4 linked regions of the Schizosaccharomyces pombe genome follow. The protein of the gene in region 4 purifies or fractionates together with the protein of the main gene of each other region. This does not show direct contact. Each region holds a gene or a part of one and is shown on either strand. Other genes may lie near its edges. The genes, in order: tra2, asa1, tra1 and tti1.

The links.
Region 1: the proteins of tti1 (region 4) and tra2 purify together in Schizosaccharomyces pombe (affinity purification with mass spectrometry, with the first as the bait; 2 studies listed by BioGRID). This does not show direct contact.
Region 2: the proteins of tti1 (region 4) and asa1 purify together in Schizosaccharomyces pombe (affinity purification with mass spectrometry, with the first as the bait; 2 studies listed by BioGRID). This does not show direct contact.
Region 3: the proteins of tti1 (region 4) and tra1 purify together in Schizosaccharomyces pombe (affinity purification with mass spectrometry; 3 studies listed by BioGRID). This does not show direct contact.

The regions. Positions count from the first base shown.
Region 1 is NC_003424.3:257,952-262,655, forward strand, and holds the start of tra2 (phosphatidylinositol kinase-like protein Tra2), read left to right. Parts: upstream 1-1,659; 5' UTR 1,660-1,767; coding exon 1,768-1,831; intron 1,832-1,892; coding exon 1,893-4,704. Other genes in the region: plasma membrane potassium ion transmembrane transporter Trk2, read right to left, coding at 1-233, 269-1,169, 1,210-1,364, 1,405-1,510.
Region 2 is NC_003424.3:5,067,582-5,071,539, reverse strand, and holds asa1 (ASTRA-associated protein 1 Asa1), read right to left. Parts: upstream 1,949-3,958; 5' UTR 1,845-1,948; coding exon 738-1,844; 3' UTR 542-737; downstream 1-541. Other genes in the region: protein Red1, read left to right, coding at 1-78, 123-328; serine protease Psp3, read right to left, coding at 2,345-3,700. UniProt on the Schizosaccharomyces pombe protein: Component of the ASTRA complex probably involved in chromatin remodeling.
Region 3 is NC_003423.3:1,902,391-1,907,423, reverse strand, and holds the start of tra1 (SAGA complex, phosphatidylinositol pseudokinase subunit Tra1), read left to right. Parts: upstream 1-2,005; coding exon 2,006-5,033. Other genes in the region: ribosome biogenesis protein Yar1, read left to right, coding at 1-192; ubiquitin-conjugating enzyme Ubc7, read right to left, coding at 680-933, 983-1,040, 1,437-1,625. UniProt on the Schizosaccharomyces pombe protein: Essential scaffold subunit of the transcription coactivator SAGA complex. SAGA acts as a general cofactor required for essentially all RNA polymerase II transcription.
Region 4 is NC_003421.2:1,420,607-1,427,772, reverse strand, and holds tti1 (TTT co-chaperone complex, armadillo-type fold subunit Tti1), read left to right. Parts: upstream 1-1,905; 5' UTR 1,906-1,926; coding exon 1,927-5,223; 3' UTR 5,224-6,627; downstream 6,628-7,166. Other genes in the region: SPOM_SPCC622.14 (GTPase-activating protein), read right to left, coding at 64-141, 463-675; NADP-specific glutamate dehydrogenase Gdh1, read left to right, coding at 6,961-7,166. UniProt on the Schizosaccharomyces pombe protein: Component of the TORC1 and TORC2 complexes required for the regulation of the cellular respons to changes in available nutrients.

The sequences.
Region 1 (4,704 bases), on a different chromosome or scaffold from region 4:
ATTGTACGATAAATAAGGTAAACTCATTGTGCTAGCTTTCGTGTGAGTACGGTTGAATGTGAGTCTTCGAGGAAGAGCAGATGTAAATGATTTGGCTAATTGAAATGGTAGGACAGACATTGAGCGCTCATTCCTGTGAAGTGTAGGTGTAACAGCAAATGATTTACCACGTTTTCTACCTCGTCCATCAAGTCGATGAGCACCTTTTTCCTGCTCAGCTCCATTCGTGTCATCTAAAGGTCAATATTAAAATCACGGAATGACTTACCAGCAAAATATATAGGCCTGCGATTATGCCTGGGAACAGGGGTTGGTGCAATGGTAATTGCAGAGCCGCGTACTACATTTTGATGTGCATCGTTAGTAGTTGCAGCAGCCTGATGATCAAAATTCGAATTTTGAGGTGAATAAGATGCTACATGTGGATCATTGTCAACTCTTGTTGTGCTGTAGTTTGAGTTTGAGGATGAAACAGTTTCCTGATTACCATCATTTGCAGTTTCTAGGGAAGGATTGTGCGAAGAGATAGAACTGTTGTTATCCAGATGATGGTTCAGTTGTGTTTGATTCTCGTGGTCATGTACTTGAGGCTCAAAATCCTCAGGAATTGTTTGAAAAGATGATTCTTCAAACGAACTAGGAATGTAAAAGTCGACAGGATTATTTCTAGCATTGTTTTGTACAACGGATAAAGATCCATTGTCGATTGATGCCATTCTTCGTTTCCCAAGAGCTGGACTTAATGCTTCAGTTCTGTCTTCATTTTCTTGAGAATTTCTAACACCTGCATAACTAGGGAGAGCGGGCATGGTATTCCCGCGAAAGAAGCTTGGGCGATCGATTGCATTAGCAAATTTCCTTAGACGAAAATGGTGCCTGTGATGTTTTTCATTCTCTTGGTGTTCAGCTTCCTCAGCCTTAGTCTCTGGGGCAACTGGCCGGTGCATTTGATTACCCTGGTCTAACAAAACCCGAATTTTTCGATTGCCAACTTTGGAAGGCTCTGGAGTATCCCTTCTTCTTACAGTGTGATAAGTATATGTCATCCTAAGTTTATTATTTGTTATGACCATGTCATATCGCTTGTTATAGAAGTACAGCTTAAACAAAGTCAAGCCCAGGTTCACAGTAATTGGTGTACTCAAAACTCCAAAAAGGAGAATAGTTAACTAAAAAATAGTTAAAAAATTTATTTAAAAATATGCATACCTGTTGGTAAATGGATATCTGCGTGAGGTCCACAGGCTGCAAGCCAGTCTGAGTACAAGAACCAGAAGCCAACAACAAAGCATCTATGTAGCGCAAATTTCCCGACCCATACAATATTACTGAACATAAAATAGTCATTCCTATTATAAAAGAATCTTGAACAAAGTTAGGCTTGAAAAGAAGTTTTTCACATACAATGGTATTCAAGGAACCGGAACCGTTTGTAGAAAAACCCGATAACTGCATGATAAAATCTGTATAATATTTTCCTTCTTAAAAACCTTCTATATCGTACAAACATGTCATAGTTTATAAAGCAGTATTATATTGTATTTGATAAAAATTACACTCACGTCGATTTCAAATAGCTTCAGTGGCTTCTTGAATAGTGCAGTTTTGCGTCCTCACTATACGATTCACCTTGAACATAGCAACAACTAAACAACATCTGACAGTAATCGTTCTGTGCTTTTTTACAGCTGTGTCCAAAATCTCGTAGTGTATCAAGTTTGGTTTCAAAGATTTATTAAAAAGTATCTGCATGGACCGAACTTTGTTATGGAAGACGGTTTTGAAAAGTCGCTCAGCAGCTCTATAGAGCTACTGAAAGCTGAAAGTACAGGTATATAAATTTTTGTAGATATTTTGATTCATTTTTTTATTTTATACTAACTTTTTTTAAGAAATAGAAGAAAAAATCAAACTAACTAAAATTTTAATTACTAAGGTTTCTAGCATATCTTCAGACGCCTCGCAGCTGTATGCAGAATTAATTCCACTACTCTTGGATTTTTTACGAAATACAGAGGTGAATCTTTATAGAAATTCTTCTGTCAATGAACTCAAGATCGAAGCATTGACTTTAATACAAAGTTGCGCTCACCGTGATGAATTTAAACAATATGCGCAGTCTTGTGTGCTTTCGTTCATTAGCTTGATTAAAGCAGATAATGAAGAAGTCGCTGTTTTTTGCTTAAAAGTTATTATGGATATATTCAAAACTTTTAAGTTTTGTATAGAAAGCACTGCACAACCCTTTTTTGACTTGGTACTTGAGCTTTCTACAAACCTTCCTTATTTAATTCCCTCAATATTTGTCGAGAATCCAAAATCAAATGAAGAGGAAAATACAACCCTGGCTTTTGGTAGTTATCTGTCTACGGAAACTTCAATCATCCAACAGCGTGTCAATTCTTTAGCTATTTCTACTCAACCTTTGGAACTGGCTTCTCAAAGTTTCCGCGTGTATGTAGAGTGTCCGGTCATTATAGTTTTGATTCTTCAAGCATATCGTCAAGCTGCTTTCCCTGGTGTTCAAGCCATAATTCCCTGTTTTCTTAAGATGGTACAAATTGATGTTCCAATAGACATCGCTTCATATGCAATGATTGAAAAAGATTCAAGCATTGACTTTATTGAGTTTATAAGGAATAAATATCAGTACCGTAATTTTTTTATGGCTCAAGTAAAGACTTTATCTTTCTTGGCTTATATTTTACGAACTCATCCCAATACACTTTCTGAGAAGGATATAATACCGGACATTGTAATAAAGCTTTTGAGGCGATGCCCTTTTGATATGTGTTTTGCCCGTAAAGAACTGCTGGTTGCTACGAGACATATTCTGTCAACAAACTTAAAATCTCTTTTTGTCAAAAAGCTGGATTTTTTGTTAGATTTAAATATATTATTAGGAAATGGAGTTGGTACTCAAAAGCTGTTACGTCCCTTGGCATTTAGTACATTAGCTGACTTACTTCATCATGTACGTGACGAACTTAACGAAACGCAAATAAGAAAATCTATAATGATTTATTCGACCAATATGCATGATTTGACTCTTAGCATTGGGTTACAGACTATGGGTGCCCGGCTCATTTTAAACATGGTTGACAGAATGATTAGTCTTCCTAGCATCCCCGATGCTATATTTCTTCTTTTATCTATTTTTGATAGCTTTGTAAATAAGTTTTCGGAACTTAATGATAGTTTGGATCAGTTTTTTAAGAAAAAGTATGAAGAAGAAATTAAAGAGACAAAGTCACCGACGCGTTCTTCTCCTAGGGATTTATCTTCATTTAGCACTTCCGTCAATGATGGATCATTTCTTTTTAAAAACTTGATGTTTGGCTTACGGGCTCTTATGTATGGGCTTCGTACATGCAAGTCTCGATGCATAGAAATTGGAGGTGAACAATTTTCGGGATTCCTTACGAATATCAAGCCTTTCGAAGCTGTTACGTTTCAGAAGCTTTTTTTTGAGGTTGGCAAAGGATTCTCATATTTTCGACCTGAGCAAGTCTATTTAGAAACTTTTTTCTGCTGCGAAGAAGAAAGTTTAGATCGCCCTGCTATATCTACGCTTCCTCGTAACAAAGACGAGAAAGATTGTCTTGAAGTATTTGCTACCATTTTTATACATCTCGAGCCATCTATATTTCTTAAAGTTTTTGAAACAAACCTTCCTACTTTTTTTGATCAACTTAAAAAAAATCTCACATTATTTCACATTCCACAGTTTTTGCTTTCAAATGAGAGCACATCATCAAAATTTTTAAATATTTTACTTCGATTTCTGCTTTCCAGAATTGAGGAACTCGGATCTTCTGACATCAGGCATGGTTCTGTCTTGTTGCGTTTGTTTCGTCTTTCTTTCGTTACAGTCTCAATGTTTGCAACAGAGAATGAGCCAGTTCTTCGGCCTTATGTATCTGAAATTATTGTGAAATGTATGAAGTTGGCTCCCAATTCTGCTAATTCATTGAACTACTATTATCTATTAAGAGCGTTGTTCCGAGGAATTGGTGGGGGAAGATTTGAAAGCCTTTATAAAGAAGTAATGCCTTTGTTGCACGCTCTATTAGAGGCATTTAATTCATTGCTTATATCTGCCCGTACTCCGAAGGAGAAAGACCTTTTTACCGAACTTTGTCTTACTATTCCTGTAAGGCTTAGTCTTTTATTACCATACATGAGTTATCTAATGAGACCTCTCGTCATGTCTTTAAAAAGCAGTCAAGAATTAGTTAGTCAGGGATTACGAACCTTTGAATTATGCTTGGATAATCTCACTCCTGATTTTTTGGATCCGATAATGGCTCCTTACATAGAAGATCTAATGAATGCTTTATGGAGTCATCTACAACCTCTTCCTTATAATTATAATCACAGCCATACTGCCTTGAAAATACTTGGTAAACTTGGTGGAAGAAATAGGAAGCTTCTTGATAGAGTCCAGAGTTTAAAGAATTCGCCGGAACCGAATAACGATTTTACTTTACTTCTTTCGATAAAAGGGGTTAAACAACCACAACTTTTACATTACACCCAATATGTTGATGAGGCTGTGAATTTGCTTTCTAGCCCTTCTAGTGATCTGGAGGTTAAGCAACAAGCGTTCACTTATGTTTGCAATATTTCAAAGCTCTATGTTTATAAGAGTGACGCTACTAACAGCTTAGCCTCATCCATTCGATGTACTGCAGACAAGATTTC
Region 2 (3,958 bases), on a different chromosome or scaffold from region 4:
GTAAATACGAAACCACTGGTGGTGTTTGTAATGATGACCATTGCGAGGCGTCGCATTTTCGCGACATTAAAATGACGGGTTATGGTATTTGTGCTGTTGATTTTTGACTAACCTTTATACAGATGATGAAATTATACAAGATTTATCAAGGTACATCGAAGGAAATGATGAAATTGAGAAAGAGTCTTATAAATCCGGTTTAGATATAGTCATGAAAAATACCGATGAGAACACCGATTTCGTCGATGTTGCTACTCGAATCGTCGAATATCATAATCTTTGGAAGTCGGAGAGAATGACAATTCCTGTTGCAAAGGTTTCCATTTAGATTGAAACTGCCAAGCAACATCAAACTAACTGTAAAAATTTTGACCGTCAAAATTACGTCCTTGTACTATAAACATCACTATACATAAACAATGGCTCTTTGCCGTTATAAAACTAATGTCACTACTTAATATAGCTCAGGTTAGAATTATGTCTTTCGTACTTTCTATGCTTGCATATGAATCGCTCATCTTATTTGAGGCGATATCAAAATACTGGAAGATTAAGCATTTACTAGTCTGATATTTAATATATTTAATATATGTAATACGTTTAAAATCATTTCAATGGTTATTGATAAAAATGCGCGTATTGTAATAAGAATGAATTGAATCCTGCAAACCAAAAGTAAATGATTTCTTGAAAATGATGATGGATTAAACGTAACTGTAATGTCCTAAACTTTTGCCCTAATACAACTTCCAGAGAGATATTCTGGTGTCTTTACTAGCTAACGCAATCACGTTGCTGCCTGGATGAAAGGCCAAACTATTAATACCATCGGAGTGATATTTCAAAACCGCTAAAGGAGCTAATGTCTGGCAGCTGTAAACACGACCTCGACCATCCCATCCTGCAGTTGCTAATATCTTGTTATCACTTCGTATACGAATATTTTGTTGTCCACAATGCTTTGTCTTTCTAAATATAGGATGAGGCAGACTACCAAGATCATCAGCTATAGATGAAGGAGTAGGATGCAGACATATACAGTCATCAGCACCCGTTGAAAATAATTTGGAACCAGCGTACTCTACCGATAAAACTGGTTGAGAATGACTTTTGTAGGCGTAAACCATCTTCCAAACAGCTTTAAAATCGAGGGTAACAGTCTTTACATTTTCTAATGAACATATGTACTGAACCACATGACCGCTTTCGTAACCGGCAGCTAATAGTACATACTTCTCGTCAGTAACGGTTACTGAGGTTGACATTACTGATCCTGTTTTACCAACAGACTCTTCTGGCTGAATTCTCGTCTGTAGTCTTTTTCCGCAATCCTCTTTGTGTGTTTGAGGATGATACAATGATTCATCATCATATACATCAAGCTCTTCAAAGTTCAATGTATTGCATAAAACTACTATTTTAGATTGAGGAGAGTAAGAGAAGGGGCAAAAGGTTAGGGAATTAACAACGATATTGGAATGAATAGATATAAATGCGCTGCTCTTCTCAGTTTCAGAAGAGGCTTCAGGACCGTAATTTTGAAGTTCAGCTAGTTTTGATAATGACATAAAATTGTCGGTCATGCAATTAAAATCGATTTTCCAAGTGACGAGACGACAGTCTCTACCGTGAGTGCATAAGGCTCCTCCCTTGACTATTTGCATGCCCAATATGGTTTTTGTATGAGCTCTCCAGGCGCATTTTGGTCGCATACTAGTAAGACACCAACAAATTACAAAACCTGCCTCATCACCAGAATATAAGTATTCATTAGCGTCAAAAAGTACACTAGTGACACTGCTAGAATGACCACGTAAAACGTAAAATGGAGTAGGAACTACCATGAAAATTTAAATTAAAGCATCCACTTTGAGCAAATATTTGTAATCATCAAGCTGAGAGGATAGGGGAACAATACAAATTGAACTGTAAAACGAATTGTTGGTGGTAAGGGAATCAATTTTAATAAGCGGTATAAGACAAAATTATAACGGTGAATCCAGAAGGCATTTTTTTTTACCAAGTGATATACCATACTTGTCAAACTACATATTTACTACTAGTACGAATGAACGATAACAATAGTGCAAAAAGTAGTAGATAAGAAAATGAAATAAAATTCTACTATACCTGACATTACAAAAAAAAATCAGTCCTAAAAGAACAAATTGGTATCGTTTTAAATGATTTCATTGCTAAACATAACAAATGTCATTACTCTGAGCTTGTTCGTCTGATGACAGTAGATATTCAACAACTTGGTTAATTGATCATTCGTATCGGAGCATCAAAAAATAAACAATCAAGGTCATCAAGCTAACATTTACATACACATAACTAGCGTTTACTCATAATTGTTGAAGGCAAGGACATTAGGTGTGTCCTCAGGAATGCCATTTAATAAGTCTTTTAGGGCAAACTTCAGCATATACTTCTTCAACTCCACAGGATGATTAGCCAGCGAAGGATCGAGAGAGATAAAATAAGCAGCCAAACCGGCGACATGAGGAGAAGCCATAGAAGTACCAGAAAGGATCATAGAAGCCCTGTTAGATCCAATCCAATCAGACAAAATTAAAGAACCAGGAGCAAAGATATCAACGCAAGATCCAATATTGCTAAAAGAAGCAATTTGATCGTTCCAAGTAGAAGCACCAACAGTCATTGCATTGGAAACTCTGGCTGGAGAGGTACCGCAAGCATCCTCTGCATCATTACCAGCAGCAACGGCAAAGAAAAGTCCACCGGCAATAGCGGCATTCACAGCCAGATCAAGAGCAGTACTTGCATCACCGCCGATGGACATATTGACGACACTTGCAATTGATTCCTTGTCTTTCTTAGATTGCTTAAAGGCAAACTCGATACCTTTAATAATATCTGATACGGTACCAGTACCATCGGCTCGCATTACCTTAACGGCAACAAGTTTGGCATTCTTAGATACACCAAAGGTTTTTCCTGCAATGGTACCAGCAACGTGAGTGCCATGACCATGATCATCCACTTCGCCTTCTCCAGTGGGAATGGTGGCACCCCAAGTGGCACGGCCTTGAAAATCTTGGTGCTCAATGTTGATACCAGTATCGATAACGTATGCAGTAACACCTTCACCGGCAGTCTCATTGTATTGGTAACGAGTCATGGTAAAAAAACCGAGTTTTTTACGATGAGATACACGAGCCAAACCCCAAGGTGCAAAAGTTTGTTCAGTCATAACATGCATAACACGGTCAGGTTCAACAAGGGCAATGTCGGGGTGCTTTTGCAACTCGGCCACCAACCAAGGAGAAAAACGACCAGCATAACCAAGAAAAGCGTCTCCAATTTCAAAGGTATGCTTCATTAAAAAGGTAGATACATCCTTAAAATCTAAGGATCGTTTCTCGTGTAAATGCTCAATCCAACGATGATGTTGCTCAAGCTTCGATTTGTCAACAGAAGGTTTAAACATGACAATGTAATTATTAGACACAGCATCCACAGCGGCTGATGCCGATTCATCTAAAGGAAATGGCATAGAAGGATCATAATTGGTGGGCTGCTGAAGCGCAAAACCATCATCAGAGGGGCCCATAAAATGTTCCTCAGTAGCACCGCTTGAAAAGGTGTCATCCAGGAAAAACCTTAAAGGGTTGAAGGCGCTGGAAGGAGCCAGGTGCGCCACTAATAAGAGACCGCTAATCCAAGAAACTCTCATGATACAAAAATTGAGAACAAGAAGAATTCTACACACACGCTCACACGAAAAAAAAAGTGAAGACTTGTACTTTAATCAAGAGTAATTCAAAAAGCAGATTGAAATAAGCAATTAGCAAACTCTTTCAGCTTCAAGCAACCGCGTAGTGTCTTTGAAAAAATGAATTCGGAAAAAAAGAAAGGAATTTAGAAACCAACAAGATTTCAAGTAATGGATACAAATATAAAGCTTTGCAAAAGAAAAAATGCAACAAAGAAA
Region 3 (5,033 bases), on a different chromosome or scaffold from region 4:
GCTGAAATTTGCAAATTACTACTGGAAGCGGGAGGTGATCCTCATATTAAGAATATTTATGAGAAGTCACCTATATATGAAGCTGATATTCGAAATCAGCAAAAAGTAATGGACCTTTTTCTGGATTTTGAGATTGCTAAAGGTAGTGAAGAAAACACTGGTGATGAAGAAAAATTGGAAGATGGAATATGATCGTTTTATTTGATAATTTCTGATTTTTATTTTGTAAAAAAATTTACCTCTTTCTTTTGTAGGTTGTGGGAAGCTAATATTTTTATGCACCTGATGCATTTTTTTTTTCTTTTGGAGCATAATTTGGGGTTATTCTTATATTTTGTTAAGTTTTTTACTGTGTAATTTCTAGATGTTTTCTCAATATAATTCGTTTTCAGCGATGTACGTTGCCATGTATCTGTGTAGAAAGTTCAAGTGATGTTTATTAAAAGATGGATTATCTCAATAGACAAAATGTTTATCTTCCATCATTTACAGATAGAAATTGAATTGGAAAAGTGCTTTCATTTTTGTTTAAACCTTGTAATTAAACCTATGTAGCGTTATACGTTGGAATAGAAAGAGAAAAGCCTACCGGTTGCGTTCAAAAATGGAACAAAACTTTATTTCTAGATTTTATCAGGTTCGTTATTCATGGCAATCTAATCAAATATACAATTCATGGTTATAATCCCAAGGTTTTACGAGCCAATCGTCGAACTACACGACAATATTCTTCTCGATCTTCTCTCCACATCTTGCACGCATCGATGTTAGCACCACTTTCATCGTTTGGTTCCGCCAACATCGACATTACCGATAACAGTATTTTTTCAACAGATTGAACAGGAGACCAACGTTCTGAAGACGACTCATACATATTTGGATCGTCACCAGGTGCATGTAGGATGGAAATGCAAACCGTCCCATCTTTGTAAACTGAAATGAAGGTTAGTCTCGAAATTTGGATTAATAGTATCTGGCATACCATTTGGATGGAAAAATTCACACTCAAACTTTAAAGTAGGGGGGCCAAGAGGATAATCCTACATAAAAAAGTTAGAATCCAATAAAAATAAAACTAAGCACGTATCAACGTGCGCTTGAACACCCCGGATGTACTGCCATGCGATTCAAAGAAAGAAACCAAACCCCCAAAAAAAAACTTAGATAGATCTTTTAAATAAAATTTCTTCCTACTCATCAATAAATCGAAGGATTCATCAATTACTAATGAATAAAAGCACTTCTCTTAAATGATCATTCTAAACGAATGGATTATTGAGTTACTTTCTTTATTTACGCTGAACAAATGTTAATTTATGAAAAAGAGCGCGTATTTTTTAATAAGTAGTTGATACATAAAACATGCGAAACATCATACTTATCCACAACTTAAATCACATGTTCAGTCTCCATCAGGTTTATAGTAAAGGACTTACGGAAGGAAATTTCAAGGTAGCAGGGTATAACCCACCTTCAAATGGAGTTCCATCAGGGCCTTGAATTAGGCAATCCCAAGTAAAGAAATCATCCTCATTCGATGGACCTGCAGTAATACCATCAGGCCCATTCTCCGTTAACTCCTTATACTCCTTCATTAACCGTCGCAACGCCATAGCTTTACTCATTTTGGAAATCAATTAACTTACTAATCGGTAAGATATATTAAAGATCACTGACTAAAAGGTAGCCTAAAAATGGTAATGAACAGATTAATGAATGAATGGTTTGTTTACGACAAATTATGCAGCTGAGGCTAAACGAACTTTTGTGGTATCACTCGCTATTTTTATCTCGTTCATCATTTTAGCAACTTCTACCGCACAAAATAATAAGGCCGTTAATTAAAATAGCGAAAACATGTAAAATTCATAAAGTGATTTAGAGGAAAGAAATGCAGCTTGCTCTATCCCACAACATTCCAATAGTAATTGTTAAATACTTAGGAAAACGTATCCGAGTGCAATTGGAATTTAAAAAAGAGCTTGCGCAGAGATCCAAGCATCTGATGGATGTATCACAATGCGAACATTGGCATAATCGGCTTTGTGATGTTGGATTAGACTCGAAGCAAAAGGCAAACACAGCAATTGAAATTCGAGATGCACTGGATGATGTGTTGGTAACTGAAAAGACGAATTTTGAAACTTTCATTCCTCTTTTGGAGGACACGTTGTCTTTGCTTGAAAAGGAACGTCCTGTATTTTCATCGTTAGCAGCTACACATCGTTTACGCATTGCATTGCTTGAATTGCTCAAGAAATCTGGATCCTATAAAGGTTTTGAAGCATTCGTTAATCGGACTTTTGCCGTGCTTCTTCGTATAGTCGTTAATGATAATGAAGAGATGGCAGTGTTGGCATTGAAGCTTGTTGTCCTTCTTTTTAAGGACCACAGTAGCCTTGCTAAGGGACATGTTCAGGAATTTTTATCCATTGTCGTTGAAAACTACAAATCCATGACCACAGTTGTTTCAGAAGCTTTCCCACCTAGATCAGCTCCGAATACTCCATCCTCTCATCCCATGTCTGCTGCATCTTCTGCATCTCCTGCTGAAATTGGAATGGAACATGCAGGTCCAAAAATGATCCCAAAAGCTTCTTCGAGTTTCAAGGTCACTGCTGAATTTCCCATTATCGTCTTTCTCCTATTTCAAACATACAAAGATCTTATTCCGAAAATGCTTCCTTTACTTGCTCCGCTTGTACTTCAATTTATCTCACTTCGTCCTCCACCTCAAGCCGAAGCTCGTCGACTTGCAGAATCTCAAAAAGAGGTTTTTATTGGTGTAGTCCCTTCTTTGCGTCGAAATCATCTTTACAATGACCTTATTTCTGCGCAAATTAAATCATTCTCTTTTCTCGCCTATTTATTGAGAAGTTTTGGTGCTGCTCTTAAACAGTTTGAAAGCTCGATCCCAATATGTACCTTGCAATTGTTCATGGACTGTCCTTCCGAATTATATCAGACTCGAAGAGAACTTTTGGTAGCTACAAGGCACGTCTTATCGACGGATTATTTGAGAGGGTTTCTACCGTATGTAGATCAACTACTTGATACCAAAATTCTAGTTGGTTCTGGAATCACTTCTCAGCATTCATTACGACCCATGGCTTTTAGCATGCTGGCAGATATGCTTCATTATGTGCGTATGGAATTAAGTCCACAACAAATTTACAAAGTCATACTTCTTTATTTCAGTATTTTGATGGACGACTTTTATACTTCAGCTATTCAGGCAATGGCTACAAAGCTTATTTTAAACTTGGTTGAAAGAATTGTTGCACTAGAAGATTTTTCCACTAGCCGATCACTTCTATTTGCTATACTTTTATGTCTCTTAAGAAAATTGACTTCTCTGAATTTCGAGTTTATGAAGCTGAGAGATTCTTTACAGGAAAATGCTGACTTAAAGCAAATTAAAATAGAAGAAAATAAACATGATCTTCCTATGTTTGAGAACCCTACTGGAGCTGCCCAACCTTCAGGTTTGGATAAGCTAAAAGATTGCATATTTCTTTTTAAAAACACCTTATTAGGTATTAAGCCTGTTTTGTTTGGACTAAAGCAACGAAATATTCCTCTTGCCAACGGTTCCATTTTTACAGCTCAGGAATGGTCTGAAAAGTTACATCTTAGTTCAACTAATGAAGTTTTACTGTTTCGAAGATTACTTGTGGAAAGTTTAAAGGGATTCAGTTATTACCAGACAGATGAAAAAACCGGTGTATTCAAGTCCTCGAAAAATCTTGCATACTCTCAACTTGATTCTTCGTTGACCACAAACCCTTCTAAACTCTTAGAAGAGAAGGAGCTCTTAGAAATGTTAGCAACTTTATTTTTACACTTGGACCCATCTGTTTTCGTCGAAATTTTGGAATCCGAGTTTCCGAATATATTTGAGTGTCTAGTAGATAATCTTGCTTTATTGCATATTTTCCAATTTTGGATGTCTAATGAAGTTACTTCTGTCAACTGCACGGGCATCGTGCTGTCTTTTTGCTGTGACAATCTAGCTAAAATAGGGTCTGGCCAATCCACTCGGGTTTCTGTTTTATTGCGATTATTCAAGTTGGCCTTTATGACTGTGAATGTTTTTCCCGAAAAAAATGCAGAAGTCCTGCGTCCCCATATATCCTATATCATTTCAACTAGCCTCGAATTGACTACTGATGCTGTTGAACCTTTAAATTACGTTTATTTAATGAAAGCTTTGTTTAGAAATATCAGTGGAGGAAAATTTGATTCTCTTTACAAGGAAATACTACCACTTCTCCAAGTAATGCTAGAATGTTTCAACAGATTGATTTTTACTGTTACGTCTACATCCCAAAAAGAGCTGTATGCGGAACTTTGTTTGACTTTACCCATTAGACTCAGTGTGTTGTTGCCTCATATGAATTTTTTAATGAAGCCATTGATTGTTGCATTAAAAGGCCCCCCTGAAATAGCTAGTCAAGGGCTTCGAATATTTGAACTTTGCTTGGATAATCTTACTCAAGAATTTTTGGATCCTTTATTGGACTCAATTATGCCGGATTTGCTGATATGCCTGTGGAATCATTCACGCCTTAATCAATCCAATAATCAATTGCATCAAAGTGCTGTGAGAATATTAGGAAAAATGGGTGGTCGAAATAGACAAATATATCTTGGTACCTTTGGCTTTGATTTTTTGCAAGATGAAAATATTTTTCCTTCAATCCAGTTTTCTTTCCAAGGCTCCTCTCAGAATTTTAGCTTAGAGCACTCCAAATTTTTAATGTCTTCATGTGCTGTTTTAAACAATCAAAATTCCGATTTAGAAGAAAAGAAGCAAGCATTTCAAATGGTCAAGAATTCGTATTTATTACTCTTTGCGTCTGCGAAGCCCGATGAAGACTTTTGGGAATCTATTGATACAATGTGCCGAGCAGTTGTAGATCGCATGGATAAAAACTTACAGCAAGTCTCTAATGGTAGGTTGTGCCCTGACAAAGATGAATCTTATTATCTGCAAAGATCTATTGTCTCAAACATTTTTAAATCTTTAGTCG
Region 4 (7,166 bases):
TCAATGTGAATAAAATCAAAATAAGGTAAACTGGAAAAAATATAGAAGGTTCAAAGATCATACTTTTTCACGAATACTTCCGGCAGCAGAAAACATCGGGTCTGTAGACAAGAATGTTTTAGCATTAGAATTTCCACCAACCTGTATAGAAGTTAGTCAGGAGCATGCAACAAATGTGGGCTATATATGTTGTTTCAAGTCATTGATGAAATTATAGTGAGCTTGCATTTTATAACTTCAGGTGATAATCAATTGCGCGTCATGTACTTGTTTTTAACATTAAACATTATTCTTGTCAAAAAAAGGCACTAAATGACTTGGAAAAAATTCGAAATAGCGGCAAGCAAACTCGCAGATCAATAGCGCTACCCTCTCAGCCAAATGAATTATTATATATATATGTTTTTTTTTTGGTAAAATAACCAACAAACTCCAATAGCCCGTATCAATCCTGATGCTTACCTCCATCATCTTCACTTGACGTTCACTCCAATTGTCCATGGTAATACTGCGGACAAAGCTCTTTTCGACTCCCAAACCACGATGCTGTCCACTGCAATCCAAACAAATGAAGATTCCCAAATTACAAGATGCCCATTGTGGATTTGGAGCATCACAATCAAAACATTTCTTGTTTTCAGGAAGACGAGTGAGTTGGTCTAATTTATACGACATTTTTTATTAGATTATTTAAACAACCAACTCATTAATTGTAGTTTGTTCTAAGTGACTTTGAAATTTCGTTATTTTCATGTCTCACCATGGTGTGAGATTTTATGGAAGTGCGTAAGAAAACGTTAAAGATCTGGTGAAACGTATTCCAAGTATATAAAATCAAAACATGAAGGAAATAAATATGTCGTGCAGTTGAATGCATTTATGAGTTTCAACTTTTTCTTGTTTTTGATCCATACTGTTTAAAATACCAGCATCTAGTTTCTTGGAAAGCTTACGGTATTATTTTGAGCAATTTTCATATCTGTCTAAGAGTTCATTGACCTTCAAAATAAATAGATTAAAGAGATTATTCAAGTTACAATAAGTTTGGTTTAAGAAAATGCAAATTAGTTTAAACAATCCTCTCGTTTTTGAAACAAACTGATAATTCAGTGATTTTTGACTACAAATAGAAATTCAGAAATTACTGTGTTCCTCGCTTGTTAAAGGTATGTAGCAGAAAATCTCTTATGAGTTGGCTACCTCTTAAGTTGTATCGTCTTTATGAACTTAACGACTTTTTTAAGGACTATAGAGGACTAGAAGCTTGAAACTACAAAACTAGACTAGTAAAAAGGTTATACCCTTATAAATTTGAGTGAATACATCCACTACTTCCATTGCACACATTAAACCAGTCTTAGTCTGCATAGCAAAGTAATTTGAGCTACAAATTATTTATACTATATATATGTCTTTCGACACACACGTTAAAATGTTTATTAAAAAATATAAAATAATACTATCGAGTTTTTAATTCAATGTAAACAGATACGCTAAAAGGCTGAAAGGCTACGAAGTTATTATTATTGTAATTGCATAGCTTCAAAAATTCTCTCTTTAATTTAAAATTTTAGTTGAGATCAAAGTAATGGTCATCAGTAAGAACTTGAATGTAACCCTAAAACTTGCAGCTTTTTGCAATATATCTTTCCAAGTTTTTAAGAACAAAGTCAAATCATTGCAACTCATTTTGCTAAATATTTTCAATGTTTCTCACGAAAACCGACTGGGAATTGGCTGTGCATCTAGTCAAAACACTTGCTATAATTTAGCACGACATTAAATATTCAAATCATTTGAATAATATTGAATTATTTATTAGAGAATACTGTAATATCATATACATTTCCAATCGCAAAAGTATGCATTTTTAAATGGTTTGCTTGTATATGACCTACCATCTCTATAACTTCATGGTTTCTCTACATGTCTCATATACAGAGTATTTTCGCACAAATTCGAGATCCTTTTCGAAAGTTAAGCTTCTATTCTCTTCCTCTATCTTCTGAAACTTCATCTGTTGACTCCAATGGGTTAAAGAACTCGTTGAAGGATGCGTACTTTGGGCTGGAAAAAGCATTGACCAATACAGACGCCGATTTACCACTAAATTTATGCGATTACATATTTTTTCCAATTGTACCTGTACTAAAGTCCTGGTATCGTGTCCCAAGTACAGGAGTGGAGTATGCCATTCAGTGCGTGAATTTGCTTTACAAGCATGGTTGGAGGGAAGCTCATAATGAAATGTTGACGATGCAACTATTATTGATGCTTCTTAATATAGCAGATGGATGGAAATCTCCTTCGGAAACTGTGGAACAAGATTTTCGTGTTCGAGAAATTACTTTCGAAACGCTTGAGAACGTTATTACAGATTTTAAGCCTAATTTTCACGATAAAAGACAGTATCTTCTCTTTGCGAGAGCTCTTTCTAGTGCTTTGGATATTATTCCAAATAAAAATAGCTCACGGAGATTACAGTTTGCCTCATTGTGTTGCGTCCAAAAGCTAATATGCCCAAAGCAATATCGCTTACCAACAGAATTTCTTACTACTTTTCTTCCTGGCATAGTATCGGGATTGACAAAGGGACTGGCGCCAAATGGAACCTGTCAGTATTTTAAAAACGTGTGTATCTCTTTGAATATTTTAGGTGATACAGTGGTGAAAGCTATTAGTGACGATAACACAAAAGATTTGCCAGATGAAAAAGATGCTTCTTCTAATTCTCATTTTTTTGGCCCAACGAAGCGTACAAAGTCTTGGAAACGCGCTACCTGCCAACAATTAAGCAATGCCGTCAAGGCAATTCTTCACCTTCGTTCTTCACAAAACTTACATGTACAAGATGCTTTATTTGATTTTTGCTTTATCCTATTTAGAGATTGTTTAGATTCACTAAAAGATTGTAGGATTCATTTACTAGAGAGCATGCTAAAATTGATCAATAAAAAAGAAAATCCAAAATTAAGGGACTATGGGATGAACAAACTCGTTTCTCTCATTGAATCATTCAACAATATTACTATGGAATCAGTATTAACTGAATGCCTAAATGATTGGTCTACTACATGGTCTAGTGTTTCCACTTTTGCTTCAGAAGATAATAAATTGGAGGAGTTGAACCGATTGAAAAGTCTCTTAAGTATATCCAGTCATCTTCCTAAGACTTTGCAGCTCATGGAGCCTTTACTGGATGGTATACTCAGCCAACTTGTACCAAAGTCATCGGGAATTGATTCCAATTCGCAGAAGCTTTTAACATCCAGTACTTCGAATGAGTACATCCATGGTGAATTTTTTGGTGGAAATGAGATGGAAAGAACAACACAAGAGATTGTTACAAGCTTCGCAAAGGCACCTAATGTTAAATATGTTATGCAGTCCTTACTTTCTAAGGCTACCTCAGCAACAAATGAAAACTCGGTTCGTGCATTTTGGGCATTTATGGTACTTTTGAAAAGTGACGTAGAAACGGTGGACAGTTTGGAAATGTATATTGATTCATTAGAGCAATATTCATTCGAAGTATTGCAACAATTATCGCAATTAAATGTCTTTACGAAAGCATCGTTGGAGGATAAGCAGAAAAAGGAAAAGTATAATCTTTTGTGTGTTCGTTCTTGCATTGCTATTGACAGCATTAGCTGGATTTCTTCTTTACAAGGAGTAAAGTTTCGATCAAAATTAATGGCATATTTTTATCCTCTCCTTGAACATTTGGCGTTTGCTTCTCCTTATGTATCTTCGTTTGCAGAGGCATGTATTCAAGCAATTGCGACAAATTGCAACTACTCGACGCCAGCAGAGTTACTTAGAGAAAATATTGACTATGTGGTCAACTCAGTTGCCCTCAAATTGAACACATTAGACGTATCACCTCAACTTCCAATTGTGATGGCTTATGTAATAAAGAATGACGATGGAGGATGCATTCGGTACATTGGAGATGTAGTGGATGCTATTTTTGGGATTTTGGATGCTTACCATGGTTACGCACGGCTTACAGAAGGGTTGCTTGGAATTCTTTATGCCATAATAAAGCAAGAAAGTATAAATGGCGAGGAGAAAAAGCTCATCGTCGGGGTGGAGGAGGACGCAATGAACGAGGATAAAAATAAGCCATGTAAAAAGATTCGCGAATTCGTTCAACTACTATTAGAGAACCCTAATTATCCTCTTCCAAAAGATGATCATGAACTAGAGGATATGATACACGATGAACAACAAGAAACGAAAAGTGGACATGAACAGTTTCGCGAACATGCAATGAAGGAAAAAGAAAAGAAGGGCAAAGAAAATGAAAATATGGGTGAGACCACAGTTGATCATGAAAACATAAATAGTAATGTTATGGACGAACAAGGAGAAAAGCAAAAAGATGATGTCGTCGATATGGTAAGGAAAATCACGGAAAAGGCGCAGTTATTCTTATCACATGAACAAATTACGATACGAGTGGAAATGTTAAAATTGTTGAGCTATGGAAGCAATGTTTTGGCTAAGGAGCCAAACACATTTTATCCTGCTATTAATACATTTTGGCCATTGGTCGTTATTCAGCTTGACACGGATAACGAACTGCTAGTAGAATGCGCATTAGAAACTATATATCAAGTTTGCGCCCTTGCAGATGATTTTATGACATCTAGGATTCGCCAAGATTTGCTTCCACGATTGGAGACGTTGTGCCAACGTTGGCATCTTTTCAATGTTGCTCGAACATATTCTAGTGAGCATCGTTTGCAAAGGGCAATGCTAAAAGTAACTTCAGCATGTGTGGCTAACAAATTGAGCATTGTAGTGTATTTGAAGCTTATGGGGATAACGGCACCCATCATACGAGCCATTACTCACATGTCTCAAAAGTATGCGGGGGATGAATCATTGGTGGAAGAAACTTGGAACGCATTTTCCAAGCAAAATCCCGACGCAGTGTATTATGAGAGAGAAGTTCGAGGGTCTCAAATGATTGACACTTTCTCTACTGAATTGTTAATTCCGGGAAAGCAACGTGTTCAACGTACATATCGCCGAACACATGAAGTTTTGGAACCTGTCGGAGCAAAGACGTCGGAGACTGTTTTCAATGATTTGCTTGGGCAACAAGGCAGCGGGAAAACCGAGACACAAGAGGAACCACTCCCTTCTTTGGACAATTTGTTACACTTGAATCAACCGAAAAAAGGAGCTAAAAAACCATTGATTTCCATCATTTAACGATAATAAAAGTGGTTACCAGTTTTAGAATTTTCCGTGTTTTAAAAGAAAATACAAAGAGCCTAAAAATCAGGCAAAGAATTCCATTACATCGCATAAAATTATATTGGCAAAGGCTCGACTTTTTTCATCTTGGCATTATTTGATTTGACTAAGGCTGTACTCGATTCAACTTGTTTCGATTTAGATGAGCCATTTTACCTACATTCAATGAGTCAGACTCAACGAATTTAGCTAAGTTGACGAAACGAGGCTGGCAGCTACCTAAATTATACTAAAAAACAAACTCATCTTGCTACCGAGCACAACGACGATCGCACCTTGTTTCGTAGTTTCGCTAATCTTTCGAATGAACTATTTTCTATCCAATTTTAGATTCAAAGCAAACAGCCACATGATCGGGCAAGGAATAAATGGACAAACGATAGTGGGATAGTGGGTTATCAGAAGACCAAAAAATAAAGAAATTTGAAATTTTTCTAACTTACATCTACGCTACGAATTTCATGACTCTGTTTCGTTTGTCTTTTTTCTATTGAAAGCTAGTCATGACTATGGCTGCTAAGGCGCAATACGTTTGGATGAGCGAATGTTTAGTCCATACTGTAAAACCGAGGCAAGGCCGTTTACTCGAATTTTCGGATATGTATTTGCGATTTGGTCTGCCTGGAAGAACCTACCCGTTTCAGTGTGATTCGACCTATTTCAGTATTTAGCGTTTTTTTCTTTTGGTACTATCCTTAGTTATCCTTGTTATCAGTAAGGGGGCAGCAACTGAAAGGAGTAAAGAATAGACCCTTTAAATGGATGTGAGAGATTGGAACGAGATTAGATTAACAAAGGACTTGGACTTTTCCAGATTTTTTTTCTTAAAAAAATTATAGAAACTGTTAATCAACAGAAAGCGAAAATCTTCTATATTACAACATTAACCTCTCTAAAACATTTTTTTTTCATCTAAAAACATCTTTCCCCCCCCCCCAAGCACCCCATCCCACTAAGGATCTTCTATAATTCCATGGATTTTCCCGGAGGAGCTGCGTTTTCCCCACATTTTCAGTAGGGTGGGTGATAGCCGTTGCACGGACCAATCATTAAGCAATGCTTATCTTATCTTTATTTGGTTGAGCAGGAGACGAAGGAATTCTGTGAGGGGGTTGGCTTATCAGATCGGAAATTTTCCGCTTAAGTAATCTTCTTTTCCACTATCCAATTATAGAGAAAAGAGATATATAGGAGCATTGTGATTGGAGATTTTGACATCATACTTACATCCTATTCGTCTGTTATCTCCGCCATCGCTCTTCCATCAGGTTTATTGCAAGTCGTCAGCCATTAGCAAACGTATGGTCTCCCAAAAAACAAGGTATCTGGTGTGACTGTTGATTATTGCTTGTTAAGTGTATAAATATAGCAGACATGGCCAGCACGTCCCTGAATCCTCCTGCTACACTGCACTGGTACATCTGGTAAGCGTTTTGAACCCGGATCGATATCTCTTACATACTCACGTTGTAAGAGTTTTGTTGGATTGTAGTTAAATTTTGAAAGTCTTTGCGTTGAAGGCGTCGAATACGGATTTGTATAGAACTTTGGATTGTACAGCCTGTATTTGTATTGTTAAAAGTTTTCGAGGTCGCCTTTTTTTGATATCTCGAATTCTCTAAACTTATCATTATTATATAGATATACACTCTATATCACTACCTTCGATTTTGTTTACTTTTTTGGCCCACCATGAGTACCCCATACGAACCTGAATTTCAACAAGCCTACAAGGAGATTGTGGGCTCCATCGAGAGCTCCAAGCTCTTTGAAGTTCATCCCGAGTTGAAGCGTGTGCTTCCAATCATTTCCATTCCCGAACGTGTCTTAGAATTCCGCGTCACATGGGAGGACGATAAAGGTAACTGCCGTGTTAACACCGGCTACCGTGTCCAATT